Arabidopsis thaliana: one gene and its partners. The protein of the gene in region 1 interacts with the protein of each later gene in a pairwise test. Each region holds a gene or a part of one and is shown in the gene's direction. Other genes may lie near its edges.

Evidence for each region.
Region 2: the proteins of SWAP70 (region 1) and AT4G00980 interact in a two-hybrid assay, tested with the Arabidopsis thaliana proteins (one large-scale study listed by BioGRID).
Region 3: the proteins of SWAP70 (region 1) and PRA1.B2 interact in a two-hybrid assay, tested with the Arabidopsis thaliana proteins (one large-scale study listed by BioGRID).

Annotation. Positions count from the first base shown.
Region 1 is NC_003071.7:13,140,057-13,149,000, reverse strand, and holds SWAP70 (Pleckstrin homology (PH) domain-containing protein), read left to right. Parts: upstream 1-2,940; 5' UTR 2,941-3,282; coding exon 3,283-3,306; intron 3,307-3,418; coding exon 3,419-3,526; intron 3,527-3,733; coding exon 3,734-3,795; intron 3,796-3,887; coding exon 3,888-3,971; intron 3,972-4,065; coding exon 4,066-4,097; intron 4,098-4,205; coding exon 4,206-4,287; intron 4,288-4,549; coding exon 4,550-4,778; intron 4,779-5,019; coding exon 5,020-5,247; intron 5,248-5,329; coding exon 5,330-5,622; coding exon of another isoform or gene 5,623-5,626; exon of another isoform or gene 5,627-5,702; coding exon 5,703-6,075; 3' UTR 6,076-6,336; downstream 6,337-8,944. Other genes in the region: AT2G30890 (Cytochrome b561/ferric reductase transmembrane protein family), read right to left, coding at 1-45, 603-770, 1,099-1,227; GSTF10 (glutathione S-transferase PHI 10), read right to left, coding at 6,609-7,063, 7,233-7,281, 7,368-7,511; GSTF9 (glutathione S-transferase PHI 9), read right to left, coding at 8,944-8,944.
Region 2 is NC_003075.7:420,674-428,616, reverse strand, and holds AT4G00980 (zinc knuckle (CCHC-type) family protein), read left to right. Parts: upstream 1-4,028; 5' UTR 4,029-4,036; coding exon 4,037-4,360; intron 4,361-4,477; coding exon 4,478-4,568; intron 4,569-4,682; coding exon 4,683-4,773; intron 4,774-4,924; coding exon 4,925-5,885; 3' UTR 5,886-6,139; downstream 6,140-7,943. Other genes in the region: AT4G00990 (Transcription factor jumonji (jmjC) domain-containing protein), read right to left, coding at 498-561, 644-773, 867-966, 1,055-1,191, 1,388-1,582; CRK41 (cysteine-rich RLK (RECEPTOR-like protein kinase) 41), read right to left, coding at 6,923-7,234, 7,354-7,504, 7,596-7,839, 7,930-7,943.
Region 3 is NC_003071.7:16,862,642-16,869,461, reverse strand, and holds PRA1.B2 (prenylated RAB acceptor 1.B2), read left to right. Parts: upstream 1-3,874; 5' UTR 3,875-4,086; coding exon 4,087-4,728; 3' UTR 4,729-5,016; downstream 5,017-6,820. Other genes in the region: AT2G40400 (DUF399 family protein, putative (DUF399 and DUF3411)), read right to left, coding at 1-99; AT2G40390 (neuronal PAS domain protein), read right to left, coding at 501-1,140, 1,227-2,077. UniProt on the Arabidopsis thaliana protein: May be involved in both secretory and endocytic intracellular trafficking in the endosomal/prevacuolar compartments.

The DNA of each region.
Region 1 (8,944 bases):
TACTGACATTACTGCCCCTATTGTCACAAGTATCACTGCAACCATCTGCTTCATAAATTAATCACATTGTTAATTGCTCACTTAATATTCCAAGTAAACTATGAGCCGCTTGTTGATAGATAACAATAGTTAAAAGTACTTGCTGCTGTTTAATTATCAAATATTGTTTTGTAACAAAATTGACTAGCTAGTAGGTGAGGTTTCTTAGTTAAGTATCAGAATGAGAGAAAGAGAAAGTCAGAAAGTCGTTAAAGCTAAAAATAAAGAGGAAGAAGATAGATGCTTTAGCTTGGCCTTCAAGTTTCCATGATTATCAATGTGATTAACAATCTAGAATAACCTAAAAGGCCCTACTAATTACTAATGGAGTACTAATTAAAAATCACGAAAAAGTTGTTAATTGGATGCAATCTTTATTGTTTAGATGAAGAGAGAAGCATCTTTGCTTTACTCTCCATCCACCTATCTTCTCGCACCGACCATTAAATTTCATTTTCAACTTATACAATACTTTCAACATACTTATGATTTAGTTTGTTGAATTGTAATATATATTTGATATATATAATTTAAATAAGAGAGCCAAGAAAAATGAAACATGCCTGAGAAGTGACATGAAGAAAGAAGAGTCGTCGAAGAGTGATTATAGGTTGGTCTTTGATAGACATTAATCTGATGGAGATTATACCAATTGGCATCAAAACACCCATCGCTGCCCAAAGCATAAAGCCATGCACTTTGATTTCGTACACAAGCTTTGGATTTAGTTTCTGTTCAAGAAAAATAAAAATAAGAGCTTCATACCAATATATATTCAGAGTTTTTGATTAAAGTTATTAACACGCAGGCATTTTATACAGAGAGTAGGAAAAAAAAACTATAACCTTTAAGCATCATGGAATAATAATATGTACATGACTTACATACATTATAATCATGCGATGATAAATAAACTCAATAGGTTATAAGATCAGAAACAAAGGAAATGCCTGGAGCTTCATTGTAAAGATTTATCAGCTATATCAATGAGATTATGAAGAGTTTGAGATTATTAGATTTTAATTAGGATAAGCGAGAGAGAAAGAAGAGCATACGAACCTCGGAGATAGGAGAAGTTTCGACTGGACCATTGACATCAATGGCCAAGCTTCTGGTGTTTTCTTGGGAGGAGCATAGGGGAAGGAGGAGGAAGAGGAGAGAGACTAAGAGTTGATGATGAATCTCCATGACTTCATGTGGTTTGAAGTTGAAACAATAAATACAAAGTTTAGAATTGATGATAATCAATTCATGAGTTCATTTCATAAGTATAACTGTTAAAGTTTGTGTGTATCTAGCTCTTTGTAAAGAATTGGATGACGGTATATATGGAACTTGAATACTTGATCCACTAGTTTCTTAGCTATAGATAGAAGAAGAGAAAAGAAAAGAAAAGTTTTAGAATTTGCTTTTAGAGTGTAAAGAAATGTGATAAAAAGAAAAAAAAAAAAAGTTAAGCTCGCAACTTTGTTATATAATATGGTTTTGCATGGAGGTTGATGGTTTATTTTACTAGTATCTCTGAATTTAAATGAAGAAAAGCAAGTGGAGGAATGGGCAATCGATTTGATATAACGAACTTCATTTTTGTCAATCTTAATTAGATGTTAATAATGATGTTTTATATCTAAAAAGGACTATATATATATAATTTGAGTATTGAATTTAATTAATGAATGTAAGAAAAAACAGAAGAATATTCAAGTGGATGTCACTATCTCTGCGACTCTACAGCACTTTTGGTTTTCTATGAAAAAAAAAAGAAGAAACTGAAACTGAAAATTCCTTAAGGTCAGATTCATCCAAAAGTAGAATTTTAATGGACTTTTATGTTTTGTGGAAGAATGTCAGATTTTGCAAGGGAAAGTGAGTCATGGCAGGTTGCACTAGCTCATAGACCACTAACAATATGTTACTGTCAACAAACATCATGATTTCACTATGGAAGGTATACATGAATGACCACATCACATGGATATATATTTTCTTATTTTCAAACACTAATCATAAGAACATACCAAATTTTAGATAAATGGTCAAACTTATAAATGTCAAAAGGTGTCCAAATTCTGTAGTATATTATATAGTAGAAGTTTCTTCTTATTTTGGAGATTGAATATAAAGGAGCCAAAAAAATATGGATTTTGATAGCTTCTTAGACGTTTCATTTAGGAAATATATGCATGGTTGGGTTGATGAGAATGCCATAGAAGTGAAAAACAAATGAGAAAATTCATACAAAAGGAATCTACATACGTAGAATAAAGCAAGAGGACCACTTCACGTTTTGCAGCTTTCCCACTTCAGTTAACCCCAAAATTGAATATTGTCTTGGCTTACATGTCTACTACTCTTTTGCTTTGATGCTTTTCAATCCATTTCTGTATCCCCAACAAGTTGTTGTGTTTCCTCCTCCTATGTAGTTATCAGCGCCTAGCTATTAAGGAAAGAGTATCATCATATCACATATGATTACTCAAATCTCATATATTATTGAATATTATGTTATGTACTTATATCATGTTTCATTACGACCATTAGGGAAGTTGTAGTACATTGAAAATCTTGAAGATTAAGAGAAAGTGTAAAGCTGTGTCTAACGCATCTATGTTTGAAGTCCCTGTGAACTAAGTGTCTAAGTCACCACTACCAAGCGTCGAAGCTAGTACGCAATATTTCACAATCTTGCACACATTTGAGATTAGTTGGGCAAAGTAAGAACTCTGCTCTCTCCTAAACGATTGGCTTGTTACAGCCCGGCCCATTGATGTTCCTTAGCCCATCGTTTATGTAAAGCTTCTCCCTTAACAAAGCCTACCTTCTACAGATCTACTTAATCATCCTCATAACCAAAAACAAAACAAAAGAATCATGTGATGACACCTCCACCGTCAGATCAAAAACCATAAAAATGAAGTGAACAAACAAAAAGTGAGAAACTCAAGAACCGGTTCATTTGACGAGTAAGCTGATCCAGTATCGTACCGACCGGTTAAGTTGATTTGATCGCGTTGAAAGAGTGAAGACAGATTCAACTGCAATTCCGCGAAACCAAACCTAACAGCATTTTTCTCCAATTCCTTCTTCTTCTTCTTCTTCTTCTGTAACCTCGTCTTCTTCAGCTTATACTCATAGCTATACCAAAGAAAACCTCTTAAAACCCTTCTTCTCTCGATCCATCGATCAGCAACAATTCACTTCTAATCGATCAAGAGCTTTCCGATCTCGTCGATCCCAATTAACATGGCTTCCAACGGCGCTTCTCCGGTCTTTTTCTCTCTTGATCTCTGTGTGCTACAATTTAGTCTCTTTCTTTTGGCTGCTTTTCTCATTCACACTCTTAAATTGACCCATTTTGTCAATTTCTGAAAATGCGCAGAGAATTGTTGATGCTACTGAGAACAGCTTGGATAAGATCAAGCGACAATTGGCATCTGGCTCTGGTCGGAACTTGCTACAAGGACCTCTTTTCAAGCGATCTGAAACTGTAAGTCCAATTTTTTTAAGTGAAAATGATCAAAACCAGTTTTTGCTTTATTGATTGGGATTTCTTAGTTAGCTCAAACTAAGAAGACTCTCTGATAGCTCACTATTAGATTTCTATAGCTTAAACAAGTCTTTTGGCCTGAAATGTCTTGGCTTATTCAAAGGTTCACAATGATAATATCTTTTGTTTGTGTTTATGTATGAATAGCTGAGAAAATGGAACGAACGATGGGTGATACTTGATCCAACAACAGGGAAAATGGAGTATAAGTGAGTTATATCAATTTGCTTATGTAGCTGCATTTGTGTGTAGACCACTTCATCATGGTTTTATTCATTTCTGATGTATTTCCATGACTCAGGACGAGGCGAAATGAGCCAACTATCAAGGGAACAATTTTGTTTGACGAAAATAGCACAATCTCCATCTCTCCTGTCAACTTCCAGTATGGATGCTACATTCTTTTTTTTGTTGCTCTGTATAATCATCATTATTTGGTGTCTGTTTGTATCATTGACTTTGTTTCTTTTGTGTTTCAGGGGGCTTCCAAAATATAATGGTTGCTGTATTTGTATCCTTGGTTTTAGTAAAATGTTGGCATATTTATAATTGTTTCTTTTGTCTATAAGGAGATAGTTGATTGGAATCTAGAGTTGAATTTTCTTCAACTTGATATAAGATATTGGTACCCCACAGAAGAAAGATTACTTTTTGTGTGCAGAGACTCCTGGTGCAGCTAAAGCTTGGGTCACAACCTTACAGTAAGTCATCTGGATCTTCATCTTTTTGTTTGCTTCTCTTTCTGTCCTTTTTATTTACTTACCATTCTCTAGAGAAGCCACCCCGCTTATTTCATCTATCTTAAATAATTCATAGTTGTGTTGATTTAATGGTTTCGTCGTCGACCATGTTGAAAGAATCATCTTTCTCTCTCTTTTTACGTTTCTTACTGAAAATGTAATACCTTCTAAATGCCCCTCAAAAGCCAATCTGATAAACCTTATCTTTCTTTGTTCGTTCCAGTGCGACACAGCTAGTTCTAAAGGCCCATAAGGAGGCTGTCGAATCTCTAAGTGGAAGTGGTTCTGCAACACTTGGTACCGTTGCAACCGTTGTTGCCGCTGCCAATTCAACAGCATTGGAATGTTCCAGAGAAATTCAAGCAGCAATGCAGATCTCTTTGAGGAATGCATTGAAAATAACGCCAAATAAACCGATTGATGGACCACTAGATGATTTGACAATAATGAAGGTGTGGTATCTTTGCATCTCTCTTTCTCTTCGAATTTGGGAAACTTTTGTGAATAGCATATTGACATCCTTTGGCTGTTGAGATTCTGAAATGTCAAGATGAACGATGAAAGCATATAGGGACACCTTACAGGAAACTCTGCTTGTCAAGGATGAAAATTAACAGAATTAGCATAAATCTTATTCGTCCATCTTCATTCTAATGTCCAGGTTAACCTTATTGAGCCACTTACATCTTACAGGAAACTCTGCGTGTCAAAGATGAAGAATTACATAATTTAGCCAGGGAACTTCGTTCTCGTGACTCAATGATAAAGGAAATAGCAGATAAGCTATCTGAGACTGCTGAAGCAGCTGTAGCTGCAGCATCTGCTGCTCATACAATGGATGAACAAAGGAAAATCGTTTGTGTGGAATTTGAGCGCTTGACTACAGACTCACAGAGACAGCAAGAAGCCACAAAATTAAAGGTAATGAGGCCATGTCATATATAGATACTTTTGCATCCTTGTGTATGTTTTGTTGTTTATTTGATCTTTATCTCCTATGTAGCTCAAGGAATTGGAAGAGAAGACCTTTACTTTGAGTAAGGAAAAAGATCAATTGGTTAAGGAAAGAGACGCTGCTCTCCAAGAGGCACATATGTGGCGGTCTGAGCTTGGGAAAGCCAGAGAGCGTGTTGTCATACTTGAAGGAGCTGTTGTGAGGGCCGAAGAGAAAGTGAGGGTTGCAGAAGCAAGCGGTGAAGCAAAATCAAAAGAGGCTTCTCAGAGAGAAGCAACTGCTTGGACAGAGAAGCAAGAGCTTTTAGCATATGTGAATATGTTACAAACTCAGCTTCAAAGGTGAGCCTATCTGAATCTATCTCCCAGGGAAACTCATGACTTTTGAAGGGTCATAAATCTCTTTATTTTTGAATAAACAGGCAGCAACTAGAGACAAAGCAAGTGTGTGAGGAGAAGACTGAGTCTACTAACGGCGAAGCTTCTCTTCCAATGACAAAGGAAACAGAAAAGAATGTGGATAAAGCATGTCTGAGCATTTCAAGAACAGCCTCTATACCGGGAGAGAATGTAGTCCATATGAGTGAAGAGCAGGTAGTAAACGCTCAGCCTCCGGTGGGAGAAAACGAATGGAATGATATTCAGGCAACAGAGGCAAGAGTTTCTGATGTAAGAGAAATATCTGCAGAGACTGAACGGGACAGAAGAAACAGCTTGGATATCCCGGTAGTGTCTCCTGAACCTAACGTTCCACGCAATGATCCGCCTTCCGAATCATTTCATCACCAGCCTTGAATAAAGATTGGTAGATCTTCGTACATTTTAATATACTCTTTGATGGTCTGGTAATGTTTGGAGAGTTGATTCTTCTAACAACAAAAAGAATTTGTCTTTTTAGTTTTCTTGTACATTCAAGAGTTGTTATGTATCTGCCGCTCTTGAATTTGTCTGACTAGGGAATGATTCTTTTTCCCTTTTATTACAACATGAAGAACAGAGAGATATGTGTTAAACTTTGACTTATGTTTTTGGATTCATATAAACCAGTTTTCATATAAATGCAATCCTTCAACAAACCACGATGGTTGTGATGTTAGTACCAGTTTTATCAAAGACCTACACTGAATAGAGGAATATACATGGGTTGAGTCACTCTGATTTTAAACTCTTATTGAAAAGCTTGAAAAGTTACAGAATACAAGAAACCAGAGACAACAAATGAGACAGAGTTCCGTTTCTTATTGAAACAACAAGACAATCGACCCGAAAACGAACTCCCTCAAAGAACACAAAGCTCACACAAACCCCCCAAGTCAACATCTCCTTGTTTAAACAGGTAGTGAGTACTTAGCGGAAACCTCCTTCCACGCAGCACGGCTACTAATCTTATCCCACCAAGCGCTAACATGCTTCCTATCTTTGATCAAATGAGCCTTCCCAATAGGACCAACAAGATACTCGGTGAAAGGAAGGTGAGCCAAATCAGCTAGACTCACAAAATCACCAGCCAAGTATTCGTTCTTAGAAAGCTGAGCTTCATAGACATCAAGCACTTCTGCAAGCTTCTCTTCACTCTCCTTAATAACTTTCTCATCAGCAGGGAAACCCATAAGTGGTGCAAAGACAATGTTGAGCGTTAAAGCCAATAGTGGTGGATGGTAACTTGTAGCCTCAACGTCTAACCATTGCTCTACTTGTCCTCTCTCTTCAATAGTCTTCCCCAAAAGATCAGGTCCTTGTGATCTATACTTCTCTGCTATATACCTCATGATCGCACGCGACTCTGCAACACAAATCGAAATCTCTTCAACACTCATTTACCTAAACAATCTTTTCCAAACAATCAAAAAAATCTCAAAGATCATGTGATTCATTGATCATGATCGCAAATGATCAGATCCATTATCAGATCATGACTCGTGTAGTAGTAGCTTAAAAGAGAAGAAGTGTACCGAAGATTTTGTAGTCTCCGTCGACGAGGACTGGGATTTTACCGAAAGGCTGCATCGATCGGAAAAAGGGATCATGATCGGAAATAGTCACCGGAAAAAAAGAAACATTTAGTAAAAAAGAGGGAAAATCGGAACCTGAATCGCGAGATACTCAGGCTGTCTCTGTTCTCCTTTCATGAGATCGACATTGACAGTTTCGAATGATACTCCCTTCTCCACCAATGTCACAACAGCTCTCTTTGAAGAAGCGAATAAAGGAGCATAGATTGTCAACACCATTTTTCTTCTCTCTTTTTTTTTCTACTATCAGTTTCTTTCTAAACTCACTATAGCAGGACGCGATTTTATAGAGGGAAAGAAAAGAGAGAGAAAAAGGGATCTGGTTAGCTGCGTTTGCGGTAGTAGGCTAAACGCAGTCGCACTTATTAGTATATTATTATTTATACGTGTCGGTATAGGTGGCGGCTAGCTAGTGGCGGCAACGTTTCACGTCATATTTGACTTTTCTCAGCACGAAATTTCCAACGTCCCATCAAATTATGAATTACATGTGTGTGTTTTTTAACAATGTTATTTATTCATTTTTAATAAGCCTAATAAAGAGAGAGACCACTTGTTGTAAGTATATTTGATTAAAGATATTCCCCACTTTGTTGTAATAAGATGCCAAAATGATTCTCACTTTTTTGAATCAACACATTTTAATAAAATAGTTACGAGACTTGATTACACTTTGTTTTGTTTTGGTTATAAAAAAAAAATGATCAGGCAATGGAAAACCTAAGTTAGCCGATTAAAATTAGGTTGGTGGGTACAAGAAAGTATTTATAAAACGTGATCGAATGAGCCCTCTTATTTTTGTAATTTATGTTCTGACAGATAACATTACTTTATCAACGCAATTATTAGATGCCTTAAACAAAAATTAGTGATCTAATTATCGAAACCAACTTTCATTATAGTGTCTATACTTTAATTTATACTATCCATCATTGGCCCCGAAAGACCAATAAACCTTTTTTCTTTCACTTTTGTCAAATTTGGTAGAGATGTTAAAAAAAAATCAGTGTATCGTCTGATGATGCACTTTATTATCCATAAATAAGCTGAGAGGCTTCTCTCAAAAAGCTTCATGAAAATCAAGATTTTATTCTTAGGGTACCTCTCTCTACTTTGTTTTACTGGTAGAGTGTTTCTTGCTAGATCAGTCACTTCTTCCAATATTCGAATGGTCTTGGTCACAAAACCAAGAATCTTTGGTTATGAATCAAAAGGCCGAGTAAAAGAAGCCAACCTAGATTTTATAGTTGTGGAAGTTCTTTTGTTATCAGACCATGTTCCAACCTAAACCGCAAACTAGTTTGAAGGTATCATCAATTATTTCATACTTCAGTACCTATCCATTATTGAGAGTCGATATGCAATCAATAAGATAGATTCCATCGACTAGGTCTCCCGTCTCGCGCGCTAATCCGACCTTTCATTCATAATTAATTTTCTTAAGCTAGTTAAATCATTCAAGTAGTAGAACTAGGGGAAAAGATCATTTCCTTAAAATTGAAAGCCTCACAAAGCCATAAAGATACTTATTAAACTACAAAAGGAAAGAGAACACAGAGGTGGCAACATTACATTAAGAGGTACATTTAGTTCCACTTTTATTAAACCTCTCATAAAACACAAACCACATCACCAAGAAGATGAACACATCT
Region 2 (7,943 bases), on another chromosome or scaffold:
ATCCCAAAGATAACCAAAAGTAGCCCAACAAGGTATAGAACCCTTGTCTTCCTTGGGCATATGACACTCATAATGATGAAAACAACTCTCTGCCCATTGCTTAACATGATATGAAGCTTATTTTCGTTCAAATGAAAATACATGAAAAAGGAATAACGTTAAAAGACAGTTATGAAAATAACAATGACAATGTCCTTTAAATCAAATGACAATACAATAAAAATGAAGATACTTAATAAGATCATAATCTCTTCAGTCATCTACCCATCAAACCACCCTGATTACTCCCCCCAAATCATTCCTTTTATATTCCATTCATTTAACAATTAGTTTGCTACCAAATCTCCTCACGAAACTGGTGACAATCGGTACATTTTAATTTGCTCTCTGCCTATTTGCAAAGGATACAAAAAACAGTATGAAAATTCAATAACATTGGTTTTCCCCCAAGATAAAAGATCAGCCAAAAAGATGCTCCCAGAGATTTGGAATCTTACCAGTATATGCGTTCGCTTGGGTCAAGTTTGCACCTCTTGATATTAGCTTCTGTCACAGGGTGTCCTAGAATAAAAAAGGTTCGTGAGTGGAGAATAGAAAGAGGAAGAAATAAGAGGATAGCACAAGTGAAGACAAAGAGCCTTACCTCTAATTGTTGATTCAATCTCTAGTTCACGGTTCTGCTCCGTATAAATATCCTTAAGAACTGGGAGAACTTTGACTAACAGATACTGCAGCTGCTTAAGCTTGACATCTGTATCTTTTTCACTTGGAGGCTGAGATTCACAAAAAAAAAAAAAAAATCATATTGAAGGAGACATTTCATCTCAGTAGATCCACAAGAAATAAGTGATCTCAAGCCCACTTACCTTGATAACCAAAGGCAACCGCAAACAAGCTCTGCAAATGCAAGTCATCATACAGAATGGACAAGCAGCTCTAACTTCCTCATGTGTTCTTTCTGAATACCTATCAAGATTCAAAATAGTTAAAACTCTCCTGGAAACCGCAAATCATAAACTAGTATAACGTAATACTGAACAGTGCAGATACATACGATCTCTTGATGCAGTCAAAGCAATAACACTTCTTGTTACACTTTGAACAGAAGATAAGATCACTCTCACTCGTCAAGATCTTACAATGATGACACGTCGAACCCAAACACTTTCTGCTTCCGTCAGGCTTAATATCCTGGGAGAATTAGGGTTCCAAAAACATATTCTCATCACATCCGAACAAATAAAATTCACCAAATCGAAATAAACAACATTCACACAAATTTTGCAGCTAAATAATTGCATGAGAAAGCAAATTTTAACAACTCCACAGAATCATGAAAGAGATTCATCTATCTATTTGAATGAAGCAATTATAGAAAGGAATTAACCTTCTCGGGATTAGAAATGTCTATTTCAATAGATCGCTTCGAAACCTCTCCTCTTCCTCTTCCTCTTCCGATTCTTCCTTTGCTCACAACATCATTCTCTTTCTTCCTCGTCTTACGCTCGCTTTCAGATCTCCCATCTTCGACTAACTCGCCGGAATCTCTTGGTCTGATTCGCTTCCCTCTCATTTTCTCCATACTCGGAGACAAAGAAGAGACCACCAATTTTTACCAGTATACAAAAGGAAAATGAAGAGACCTCTGGAGTTTCTTCGAACGTCGTTAATTCATCGATTTATCGCCGTCGCAGCTTTGGGACTATCAAAGTAGTTAAAGGAGAGTGACGTGGCCACAGTCCAGAGGGTAGTATGGGCTTTAAAGTCTACTTCGTGAATCGTAAGTAATTATTAATTAGGGAACAAGACGTTTCATTACTTTTTACTATTCTACCGTTTCAACTTCTGTTTTCTTTCCAAATTTAACTATTTTTTAAACAACCGGTTAAAATAGATTTTCTTTAATTAACCAAGTGGTTCTCTCTGGTATCTTTGAGAGAGAGGAAAACTCTGTTTAATATTTTCTCCGATTGAAATCGGATTTCATTTAAGTTTTTTTTCTTTTCTTTTGTTTCCGGTATCTTGCCGGTTTTAATTTCCGAATTGTTCGGAGTTTCTTTCGGTTTTCTTTGCCGGTTTTTTATAAGGCCTTTTGCAGGTTGTAAATCAACACTTTCAATTTTAGAAGATGTTTAATTCTTGGAGGTTTTTAGATGGAAATGTGTTCATTGGATGCTTGATTACTCTTCCATGTGAAGGAAAATTCCTCGCTATGCTAATAAAAGCGTAAGGGCATCGGTTCTTCATGGATGATAGATCAAGGTGTTGTGGTTGATTGGAGAAGAGTATGACGAGTTGGGGTTCACGTCATGTTTTAATGGTCCTCCAAGGAATATTCTAATCCTAATCAGCTGAAGTTTAAATTTCCGGTGACCAAACTAACTCCAATAGACTATTTCCGGTGATCCTTGGCAAAAGGCATTCGGTACAACTAAATGTGGGTAGAAAGTTTCATGGAGGAGCTGAATCATTTGCTGACCGGCGGAAGATTTCTCCGGCGAAGCAGTGACGGGGCATGTGCTGAAACGTTGATCTACGCTGCAATCTCCACATTGCATACATGTGTCATCATATTGTCTATTTAATGTTTGCAATTAGTGGGCTTTTGGCCTCAAGTTGTACCTGTTTATGAAGCCCATTTGGGCTAATTAATAGAAAAATGTTTGCCGTTAAAAAAAAAAAAAAAAAAGTGGTTCGATGGTCGTAAATAACTTTTATGGGTTTTGGTCTTGGGTTAGAGAATTCAAATTCATGGGCCAACCCAATTTTCATTTTAAGTGCTTCTTCTATGATGACATTTCACGAAAATAATACAATGGATTGTCGAGGAAAGAAGTGATGTTTTCTGTAAATTGTTAGGCATTAGTTATTGGAGAAGCGAAATGTGAAATGCACATTGTTTGTTGGCTATTAACTTGCTTTTAAAGGTGACTTGAACATATTTGGTGTCTTATGTTGATTCCGAAGCTATGAGTACTTTTGATCAATCTAGTTTATGAAGTTACTTTTAGCATCGCCTTCTCGATTTTGTTACTGCCATCACATGTCAAGTTGGTTTTGATGTTTTGTAAGCATTGATAAGCTTTAACGAACAAACTTTTTTTTGTTATCATTACTGCGTATTGGAGTTTTGCATTACATCTTTTGCTTCTCTTATGGCTGAGCAGGGCCGGCCCTGGGCTAAAGTTGGTGAAACTCATGCTTTACGCGCCTAAAATTATAGATAATATTAAAGGGCATCAAATTTTAAAAATGTTTCGTAGTCTAGTGATTGTTTCATAGATTAGTGACTCTTTCGTGGACAGTTCGAACCTTACCTTCGTTTTTTTGAGACTTTAATTATAAATAGATTTAAAATGCTTAAGAATTTTAAATGAGCTTAAAGATGTTTTAGGCATCAAAATCTGTTGGGTTAGCCCTCTGGCTGAGTCTGAGCTCGCAGCATGCAATACTAATTTCTTAAGCTGCAATGCAGTGAGAAGACAAGTAAAACAAGATTAACATTAGCCCAAACTAGATTATTCACAACAAATGTTAATGACTATTACCTTGCTATCTTTATATTTAGCCTCTTTTGTTTGAGCTTAATTTTCAAAAATAATTTGCTTTCTGTCGGTTTAGTTTCTAGAAGGATTCGACTCTTAGTATCTTATCGGCTTCGTGAAGAAAAACTGTATTTCACCCATATATTTCTCAATCGTATTCGTATCTCACCCATGTATTCATATATCGTATTATAAAACAGAAAAGATATATAGATAAGGAAAAAAAACTCATATATATATATTTGCATATATAAAGTATTAAATGCAACAGCTATAGCAAAAAGGTTCTATGGTCTAGCGGTTAGGACATTGGACTCTGAATCCAGTAACCCGAGTTCAATTCTCGGTAGAACCTCTTTTTTTCACACTCCGGCCAAATTTTTTCCCCCGGCGATTTATGAACCCTAAATATAACGCCGGCCAACAACCAAAACTCGACGCTACTGCGAAATCTTTTTCTTTATCCTTTTTTTTCTTCTTTTTCGGGCGAAATGGAGAATTCGTTGCTTGATTCTGGTGAAACTATGGAGATTGTCGCTACACAAAAAATCGAGGAAACAGTGAAGAGCATACTCAGTGAATCTGATATGGACCAAATGACGGAGTTCAAACTCCGACTTGACGCTTCGGCTAAACTCGGTATCGACTTATCGGGAACCAATCACAAGAAGCTAGTCAGAGATGTTCTTGAGGTCTTTTTGCTATCGACTCCCGGTGAAGCACTCGTACCGGAGACGGTGGCTCCGGCGAAAAATGAGACAGTTTCTGTTGCTGCCGCTTCCGTTGGTGGTGAAGATGAGCGCTTTATTTGTAAGGTTGCGACTTTGCCTATTTGTTCTATGTTTGATTCACTGTATAGAGTAGAGATTGTGATCATCTCGATTTTGAGTTTTTCAGTGGTCACTGTAGAAATTGTTGGTCTTTAACTGTAGTTATCGGAGAAGCAAAATGCGACGGTTCAAAGATACAGAGGCCAACCTTTTCTATCGATTGGTTCTCAGGAACATGGAAAGGCTTTTAGAGGTAATTTGAAACACAACTTGGTGTCTTGGTCTTGACTATGAAGCTATAAGTAGCCATTTTTGTTTTAGATATGCTCCTGTTGATTTCAATTGTTAGATGTTTCTTCTCTGTCAGGAGCACATTTGTCAACTAACCAATGGTCTGTAATCAAGAAGAATTTTGCAGCGATAGAGGACGGTATTAAGCAGTGCCAATCAAAACTAAAGTAAGAATGTGTACCTTATTTTAAGTCTATAAAGATTCATGTTCCCTGGCATTGCTTTTAGTGTTTTATGGTCATATAATCATCGTGGCATAGGGCATTACTGTCTGGCTAGCAATGTAGGCTGCTTATCTTGCTATTAAACGTTATGCAGATCTGAAGCAGCACGAAATGGAGATACTTCTGAGGCTGTGGATAAGGACAGCTCTCACGGTTTTTCTGTTATCAAGATTTCACGATTTGATGGAAAGAGTTATCTTTACTGGGCTTCACAGATGGAACTCTTTCTGAAGCAATTGAAGCTGACTTATGTACTCTCTGAACCTTGTCCCAGTATTGGTAGCTCTCAAGGCCCTGAAACCAACCCCAGGGAAATAACTCGAGCTGATGCTACGGGGAAAAAATGGTTGAGAGATGATTACCTGTGCTATACTCACTTGATGAACTCCTTGTCAGATCATCTATACCGTCGATACTCTCAGAAATTTAAGCATGCCAAAGAATTGTGGGACGAGTTAAAATGGGTCTACCAGTGTGATGAATCCAAATCGAAGAGGTCACAAGTCAGAAAGTACATTGAATTCAGAATGGTGGAAGAGAGACCGATACTCGAGCAAGTCCAAGTCTTTAACAAGATTGCGGATTCCATAGTGAGTGCTGGTATGTTTCTTGATGAGGCATTTCATGTGAGTACCATCATCTCCAAGTTTCCCCCGTCTTGGAGAGGCTTCTGCACCAGGTTAATGGAAGAGGAGTATTTACCAGTCTGGATGTTGATGGAACGAGTAAAAGCTGAGGAAGAGCTTCTCAGAAATGGAGCAAAAGGGGTTACATATAGACCAGCCACAGGCTCCTCTCAGATGGAAAGGACACCGAGTCTAGGAACAACACATAGAGGATCTCAGAGCGTAGGTTGGAAGAGGAAAGAACCTGAGAGAGACGAGAGAGTCATCATCGTCTGTGACAACTGTGGGAGGAAAGGACATCTCGCAAAGCATTGCTGGGGTAGTAAATCTGATGAGAGAGCTTCCGGAAAATCAAACCGGATCAACTCCTCAGTCGCTGCACCTGTGGAATCAGAGACTCAAGCAACAACAAACAATGATAGGGGGTAGTAGTTGATGATTGCTGAAGCCAAAATGTTTATATCTCTTCACAGATATACTTAAAGAGGTAAGTCTTTTGAATACCGTTGATTCAGGATTCAGAAGCAGTCCTTTTATGACCTTTTTTCAGCTTGTCCATATGTCTGGCCTATTAGATTTATGACACTGAAATGTATAAAAGAAGAACAGAGAGATGACCAATAGATCAGTTTTGGCCTGATTTAATGTAAAAGTATACTTTTATGAATGATAATTTTTTTGTCAAAATTGCTTTTTAAATCCTATTTTGAGGAACCAAAATAAAAACAGAAACCTCAAAACTGATATACAAACAAATAAACTGACATCAATTGAGGTGACAATACTTAACACACAACCAAAAATTAAGAGTTTCTTTGTCCCAAGCGTTATGGAAGATATTCTCAGCCTCTAAAATTAAACTTGAACGTCGAAATTTTAAAAAGGACCAGATGGAGAGTAATATAAAATTAGCGGGTGAAAAATAGAAGAAATTAAAAGTTTCAGGGTGAAAAGGAAAAAAAATGAAACCTGTCAGACCGCCGTGCGACCACCCCGGCAAGGGAGAACCGAGCCGAGTAACCATCCTCTACAGCACCGGATGCATCCAAGGACAATCGTAGCCGTCAATCACGCTCAAGCCGCACGGTCACGGTTCATCAACAAGGGTTTAGGGCCTGTCTCTTGAGAAATTTTCTCAAGAAAACAGATGTACGAGCCTATAGTTCAAGTAAGGTCGTGACCATTGATGCTTTGTATCCATATATAAAGAAAACGTTTCTCCACTAGCTTATCGATGTGGGACGCAAAATTCCTAAGAAAAAGCAATCATAAGCTAATGGGCCTACACGAGGAAAAAAACACTAATGGGCCTACATTGTTAACAAAGCCCATATATGTTCAAGCCCAATAATTAGAGATTATGGTTTCATTAGGACAAAGAATTTTAAGTTCAAACGTCATTTGACATTTTGAAGTGTAACTTTAAAGCAAACAGAAATCTTCATTTTTGTCTTTTACACACAAATTTAACGAGCATCGAACTCGGTAATTGTAACATCATTCAAAGATGCAATATGATTTATCTGATTTTTGTCTCTTGACAATGATTCTCCATCTCCCGAGTAAAATGCGGGTTGCGAGGGTCTCGGTAAAGTGAAAGAATTTGCATTGAGCATTACAACAACAGAAGCCATTGTTGGTCTACTCTCTGCATTCTCCTGAACACACAACAAACCAATGTGAATGCATTTCATGATTTCATCACTGACACCTATTGTTTCAACCAAACTTGGATCCACAATGTTTAACACTTCCCCTTCTCTCCAGCTCTTCCATACCTATACGTATAAAAGACAATATATGACTTGAAATCAAGACAATATATGAGTCCTCAATTACAACCCCAAACTCAAAGTCTAGAGTCAAAAAAAACAAAGCAAGAGTTTTATTCACTTACATAGCTAAGGAGGAATAATGAGCTGTCTTCTTCTGGAGACCAATTGTTTTTCTTACCTTTAATAATCTCAAGGACTAGTACACCGAAGCTAAATACATCGGTTTTTACCGAGAATTCGCCACTCATTGCATACTCTGGAGCCATGTAACCGCTGCCAAACGAGCAAATAATGTTTTGGCTTTCATTTTAGTTTTACAGAATTGATAATAACTTAAAGGGTAGTTTTTAAAATGGTAGCTTACTAGGTTCCTGCAACTTTGCTTGTAAACCTGGTCTGACTTGTTTGGTCAGTATCAAACAACTTTGCCATTCCAAAATCCGCGATTTTCGGATTCATTGCATCGTCCAATAGAACATTGCTGGCTTTCATATCTCTATGAACAATCTTGAAACGAGAATCTTCATGGAGATAGAGAAGACCTCTAGCAACACCTGAGATAATCCTATAACGTGTTTCCCAATCTAAGATCATTCTCCTATTAGAATCTGCGAAAGAAAACAACTAATTTGGATCAATCATTAAATAAGTTACTATAAATAGAGAGATACATTTGTTTGGGGTTTAGTTTAAGGTACCAAATATGTAATGG
Region 3 (6,820 bases), 3.7 Mb from region 1:
GGCTGAGAAGATAATCGGAAGTTGGCCGCGGAATCTCGGAAACGAGAAGGAGGAAGATGATTGAGAAGCCAAGAGCCCACCATTGGTCGTGGGCTTCATTGGTACACGTCAGCTTTTTGCATTGCTCTAGATCTACAAATAGAGACTTTTCATTTTATTTTATTGCCATCTCTTGTGTGGTTCTCCAATTTTCAAAAATAAAAAAAAACTTCTACTACATGATTTTATTTATGTTAGATCCACCAAATTATACGTATAATAATGTTGAAAAATAAATTTATGGATAACAACAACGGAAAAAAACTATGGACTATATACGACTTTGATATTCATATATACAAAACTTTTTTTCTTTATGTCGGTGAAGTCATTAGAAAAGCACAATACTGTATTTTCTAAATTCAATAATTCCATCATAAGTATTATTTTACAAACTTTACTGAAAAAAGCAACAAACTAGGGGAATATTTTGCTTAGGGTGAAAGTAAGAAAAGAAATATCTAAGGAAGATTGAGGTAAAGCATCTCCTTAAATTCCAACTTTCTAGTATCACTATAAAAAGTATGATGCTTGTTAGGCCAATAAGTCAACCAAACGCAACCTTTAACCTCAAACTCCATTACTTTCCCAATAGCCGTTTTATCAACTTTCCACAAAACGCTTTGCCCATAACTATCTCCTGCAAACACAACTCCTCCTTGCTTCGTGAACGGTCTAAACGCGCTCGAGTACCGGTTCTTGAACCAAGCTCGAGGGTTCATCATCGAGACTTTCGATGGTTTAGAGGACGAAACTTCTCTTCCATCGTCAAGATCATGGAGAAACCAAGTGAGATTGGCGCTATAACCATGAACCCATTCCTCGAACTTCCATGGCTTCATGCTTTTTGTTGTGGTCTCGTTGGCTGAGACTTTTAGTCCAAAGAATGTGTTTGGTGGATCTATTGTTGCTTCTATGCCTTTCTCTACTTCGAATTCTGTCAATGGGTTTTCTGAAGATTTTTGTACGGATACCATTAAGATGTTTGATTGATTCGTTGGTGTTAGTTGCAATGATATTCTTGAGGGGAAATGTTTTTCCTCTGTTCCCATGCCACGTTCCGATAATAGTTTCTCGTTCACAAGCCTTATTATGTCGCACCTAGTTATAAACAATATCTATAGTTAAGAGAAATTAATATGAACAAATTACTTATGTATGCTTGATTACACACAATTTTACGATACCTGACGTTGTCAATATTTACTGCGACGTTAAACCACTTTTCACGAACGTAAATCCTGTGGTTCAATTGGATTACACCTTCAAGTTGATGATAGTTTAGCGAGAAGAACAATCTCTCGTCGTTTAGAGAACTATTTACGCTCTCCATTTCCATTGCTACCACAGGACAATACATATGAACTTTCCATAGACCTTGAGTCGAGAAAGCATATGAAAACAAAGGAGAAGGAGACTTGAGATGCTGAAACGCTTTGATCTCGATGATCCAGTTGGTTATTGCAAGGTTCAGCGATCTCATCCATTGTTCTTCAAGGTTAGAGCCTAGTTGCACCATGAGCAACTTAGAGCCCTGCCTTGACCTACAAGTTACCAGCTGATCTTTCACCGTTTTGAGACAAGTTGTTCTCAGGCTCGTTGGCGCCTCGTAGATGCAGATGAGGAACACGAAAGTGAAGAAAGCGAGGTTGAAAACGTCTTTGAGGTTAGAAGTGGAGCCTAGGTTTTGGAGTTGGATTGAACAAGTGGTTCTCTTGACGTTATAGTTGAGAACAACGTCGACAAAACCCATCAATAGAGTAGATATGACGTTTTCATTGAGGAAAGTAGTTGAATTAGTGCTAATGGTTCTGAAAGTTTTTGAAATAAAGAGAGTAATAGGAGTCTTGAAATTGGCTACTATCGAGAAGGTGAAAAAGTTTGGAGATTGAGGGGTACGAGTAAGAGTGAAGTTCAAAGATGGGTGTGATGAATTTGGAGAGCAAATACACATGGACATTAAATTTCCTTTCCATAGAGAAAGAGGAGGAAGAGTTTGAAGCCAAGCAAACGCATCAGGTGTGTCACAAGAAGCCATTAGAGCTAATATTGAATATCTAGTTGTTGTTCTAGATATGTGTGGTATAGAGAGTATATGATTAGAAGACTAGATTTATCATTTATATATAGAGAGAACATTTTAATGAGTGGAAGAAAAGTAAAGGAAGAAAGATTCGCTTATTTTTTTCAAAAGGTAAGCTAAACAAAATCATGAACTATTTTACGTAAACCAGAAAATATAGAGCTACGCACGAACACGAGACGTCTCTTTAGTAAAATATTGAAAATTTGAAATGTGATAATGATTAAGAGTCCTGCAAATTATGAGATAACGTACAAGGAAAAAGGTTTAGATGATAATTAGAGTAGCTAGACCGTTAAGAGGGATGTAATTAAATTGATAAAGTACGTGCTATTCAAGATTCTTCCATATGTGGATTTCAACCCGAATTTCCAAGAAATATTCTTGATTAGGCCGACGAATATTGTTATTCGATGCCTCTATTCTACTCAATAATGTTTCTTCGTCTTTATTTAGTTTACTAATTATATGTTTGATACATAAATAAATACGAATTATGGAGTGTGTTTGTATATACATAAATACGAATACGAATTATGGAGTGTGTTCAAATAATTATACATAAATAAATAAATACGAATTATGAATTATATACAAATATAAATTATATACACTTGAAGCCTGACGATTACAATAGCAGCTGATCATTATCTTCGGGGTGAATTCAAATTATGGATTGTGTTTGATTTCCTCAAGTCTTAATTTTCATCTACTTTTCAAACGACTAATTAATAGTGGCTACATAACTAACGACTCGATGATAAACACTCCAAAAAGCAATCAATCACTTGAGCAAAAGTTCAAAAGAAAACACTCCAAAAAGCAAACGCAAACACCAAACAAAACAAAACTCAAGTAGAGTTTTAGATAAAGCAACAGTAGAATTTTAGAAAAACCAAATTAAAACACCAAGTGTTTATGCCAAATAAATTGGCTAGACGAAGCAAAACAAGAACACATTATTGATAGTGTAGATTTGGAGTTCACTAATTGATAGTGCAACGTTTGAGTTCAACATTGCCTAGGCTGAGTGAGAATATCTTATTGTTTCCATCCACGAATTTGAGAAAGTAACTACATGTTACCTTTACCTTCTTGTTATTCTCGTCAACCTCATTTATCTCGGTCATCTCAACATGAACAAGTTCCGCAAACCTCCATTTGTTTTCATTATCTCATTTTGATTGTCCCAATCATGTCAAACTCATCTTTTATCGCTTGCACCCCCTTCTTCATGTAGTCTCCACCACCGGTTGCATAGGCGTCTTTAAAAATGCTCTCGAGTTCCCTCCAGTTGTCTTTGCCCCAAGTTCCTGGTGTCTCAAGACACCATAATTCATATATAACTCATAATTCATATTTATTTATGTATATAATTTGTATTTGTATATAATTCATAATTTGTTTAGCTTCAAGTGTACATAATTTGTATATAATTTAATTTCACAGTTTATAGATATATTTAGTAAACCTTTATCATTCATGATCAATTGATCATATGATTGTTTCATTTGTTCAACGAGAACACTCATAGGGTGGGAAATGAGATGATAATTATTGAAATGATCATATAAACAATTGTAGGAAGTCGTAATTTATCTGCAAATAAAATTAGAATATTATTAACTACACTAATTTACTAGTTTGTGTTGTGTTATCCTTGTAACATCATATAGATACAAACCACTGAACCAGTAAGATTGTTTGTTTGTTGAAAAAAAAAAAATGGTTTTATGAACCAATAGTGGAATATATTGGGCCTCTTCCAACATTATAGACCCATCTAAAAATTGCTATTAACTCCAACTTAATATATTGGGCCTATTCCAAAACATTATAGGCCCATAAAATTTAGGCCTTTAGAATATCTAACACGGTTTTGCCGCAACTTCAGTTTCCACTAAAATCGGAACAACAAATTCACACTCTCTCCGCCGCGCACAGACTCACCGACACCACCAATAATGTCTTCTTCTCCGGCGATTCTTCCCGTCACCAACCAGCAAGCAGCCACTCAATCTCAACCTCCAATCAATTCTCACGCCTTCCGTACTTTCCTCTCACGCCTCTCGTCCTCTCTCCGCGAAAGCCTCTCTCAACGCCGTCCATGGCTAGAACTCGTAGATCGGAGCTCCTTCGCTAGACCTGACTCTCTCACCGATTCCTTCTCCCGGATCCGTAAGAATCTCGCTTACTTCAAAGTCAATTACTCCGCAATTGTCTCGTTAGTCCTTGCTTTCTCCCTCCTCTCGCATCCATTCTCGCTTCTCGTCCTCCTCTCTCTCTTAGGCTCCTGGATGTTTCTCTACCTCTTCCGATCTTCAGATCAGCCTTTGGTTCTCTTTGGTCGTAGTTTCTCAGATCGTGAGACTTTGCTTGGTCTTGTTTTGACTACGATTGTGGTTGTGTTTATGACGAGTGTTGGATCTTTGTTAACATCGGCGTTAACGATTGGAATCGCGATTGTTTGCTTACATGGTGCGTTTAGGGTTCCTGATGATTTGTTCTTGGATGAACAAGAGCCTGCTAATGCTGGTTTACTCTCGTTCATTGGTAATTCTGCTGCTACTTCTGCTGCTGCTTCTGTTGTTGCAGGACGAGTTTGAGAAGCTCGAATTTGATGATTCTGATCCTAGAGAACAAACGAAACCTGGATTCTCAGGGTTTTTAGTTATGTTTTGAGTATAGATTCGATGAAGATCTGTAAGTGTTAGATCTAAAGATGCATTGTTGTGTTGTATTCTTCAATTTCGTCACAATTTAGAAAATTTGGAGCTGATCCTTCTCAAGTATTGTAAGATCTCATTTACCTTAAATCAATTTGATACTCTTTGCCTTCATCACCATATGTTTGAGTTAGATTTAGACTAAACCAGTGAAGATTATAGTTTGACCAAAGTATTAAGGATTAAACAAACAACATGTAGTTTAACAACATACGTGGTAGATGTAAATCTTGTAACTAGTTATGTCTATGTCTCTCTAGCTACCAACTATTTTATTCTTCCACAAGTTTCCTCTATCTCGAAAGCGAACAGCCAATACTGTGTACGAATTTGCTGATAGTAAGAGGGTTATATCATGGGAAAGTTTCCCACTGGATTTACATGTTTGGCCAATTTGACAAAAACGACACACGTTTAGTTTGGGGATTTTGTCTTAAAAACTCGGCTGCCAAAAACAAACTGAAGATTCGGTCACCTGAATTGTCTTTTTCGGTCAAAGTCTCACTGAGTTGCTTCTTTCTTAGATATAATATAGGTGACCTGTTTTTAATCTTCATAACATGAGATATATTTTCGTGGAATGAGTTGTGTCTTGTGAAATCTTTTTTCTTTGGTTTTAATGTTAAGAATGTCTTGTGAAATCTTTTCCTGGATTCTAATTATTGGTGAGAATGTGAGATAAAAACAACACTTAGGTACTAAGTTACTAACCATTAAACATGAAGATAAATAGACAAATCCTCTTGTGTAAAGAAGATTATCCCACTTGTAACGAGAAGGTTTGACAAATCGACAACAAAAATGTGAACCTAGTTAGGGTTCGTACCCACTTTTGACTAATGGAATTAAGATACAAAGGAAACCAAAGAAATAGAGTAAACCAATATAATTCCCATGCTACTAATAATTAATCAAGAAATTTCATAAGTAGCAGTTCAAGATATCGTCATTTCTCATGTCATTTCAAAGACCATGATTTCTTCTCGGAAGGATAATTAAACGAAAGCTTAAATTCATATAGCTAGTGAAGATATTTTGTGAGGAAAAATATATATCTTATGTACTGAAAATATATATATTACCAGAAGGTCTCATGTGAAAACATCTATACTTCTAATTGTAAAACTGAATGACTAGATTATAATTTTCCAGTTGAAATAATAGAAATTATTTTTAAAGTTAATAGGAAAGTGGTATAATTAGAGAACAACACACAAAATCTAGACAAGTAAAGCATGTTGTTGACTATGAACATAATTGTAGATGCGGGGTCAATGTCACTTTGCTATATACAAAAAGGTACGGCTAATTTCTAAACATGAGATTGTCATTATCAGAGATTTAGCACATAGAGAGGTTAAAGATACCAAAGAAGAAGACACTAACTAATTCCACCAAACATAATTACTAATTTCTTGTTCACCAATCCATGTCCCCAATATTCTTCTCATGTACTTCTTCTTTCTTAACAACATGATGTTAACATTTTTTCCCAACTTTATTACCTTTCGGATGGTTATTGTTAAAGATATTTACGTAACGGATTACATGGTCTCTCCTTTCCAAAAGTATTAACTTAATCTTTTAGGAAAAAAAGTTTTAGTTAAAAAAAGTTCTTCCGTATATTTACGTAAGGGGTACACAGTTTTGACGTTTCAATACATATTGGCAAAAACCAAAACATAAAGGAAACAATTTACGACATATAGGTGTAGAGGTAGCTAGATTCGGTTAAAGAAAATTAAAGGTGTTATTGTTAAGACAAGAATATAGGGGTTGAAAAAAGTTGTGATTTAGGCGGTTAGACGAATCATCTTGTTTACCTCAACTCATTTTTACTTTTTTCAACACTAACAAAACAATGATCATTTTTACTTAAGCTTGAAGCCAATCTTATTGTACCAATTTTAAACCACAGAGTTTTCGTTATGATGATAATAATATTAATCTTTCTACGCAATGATGTTACAGT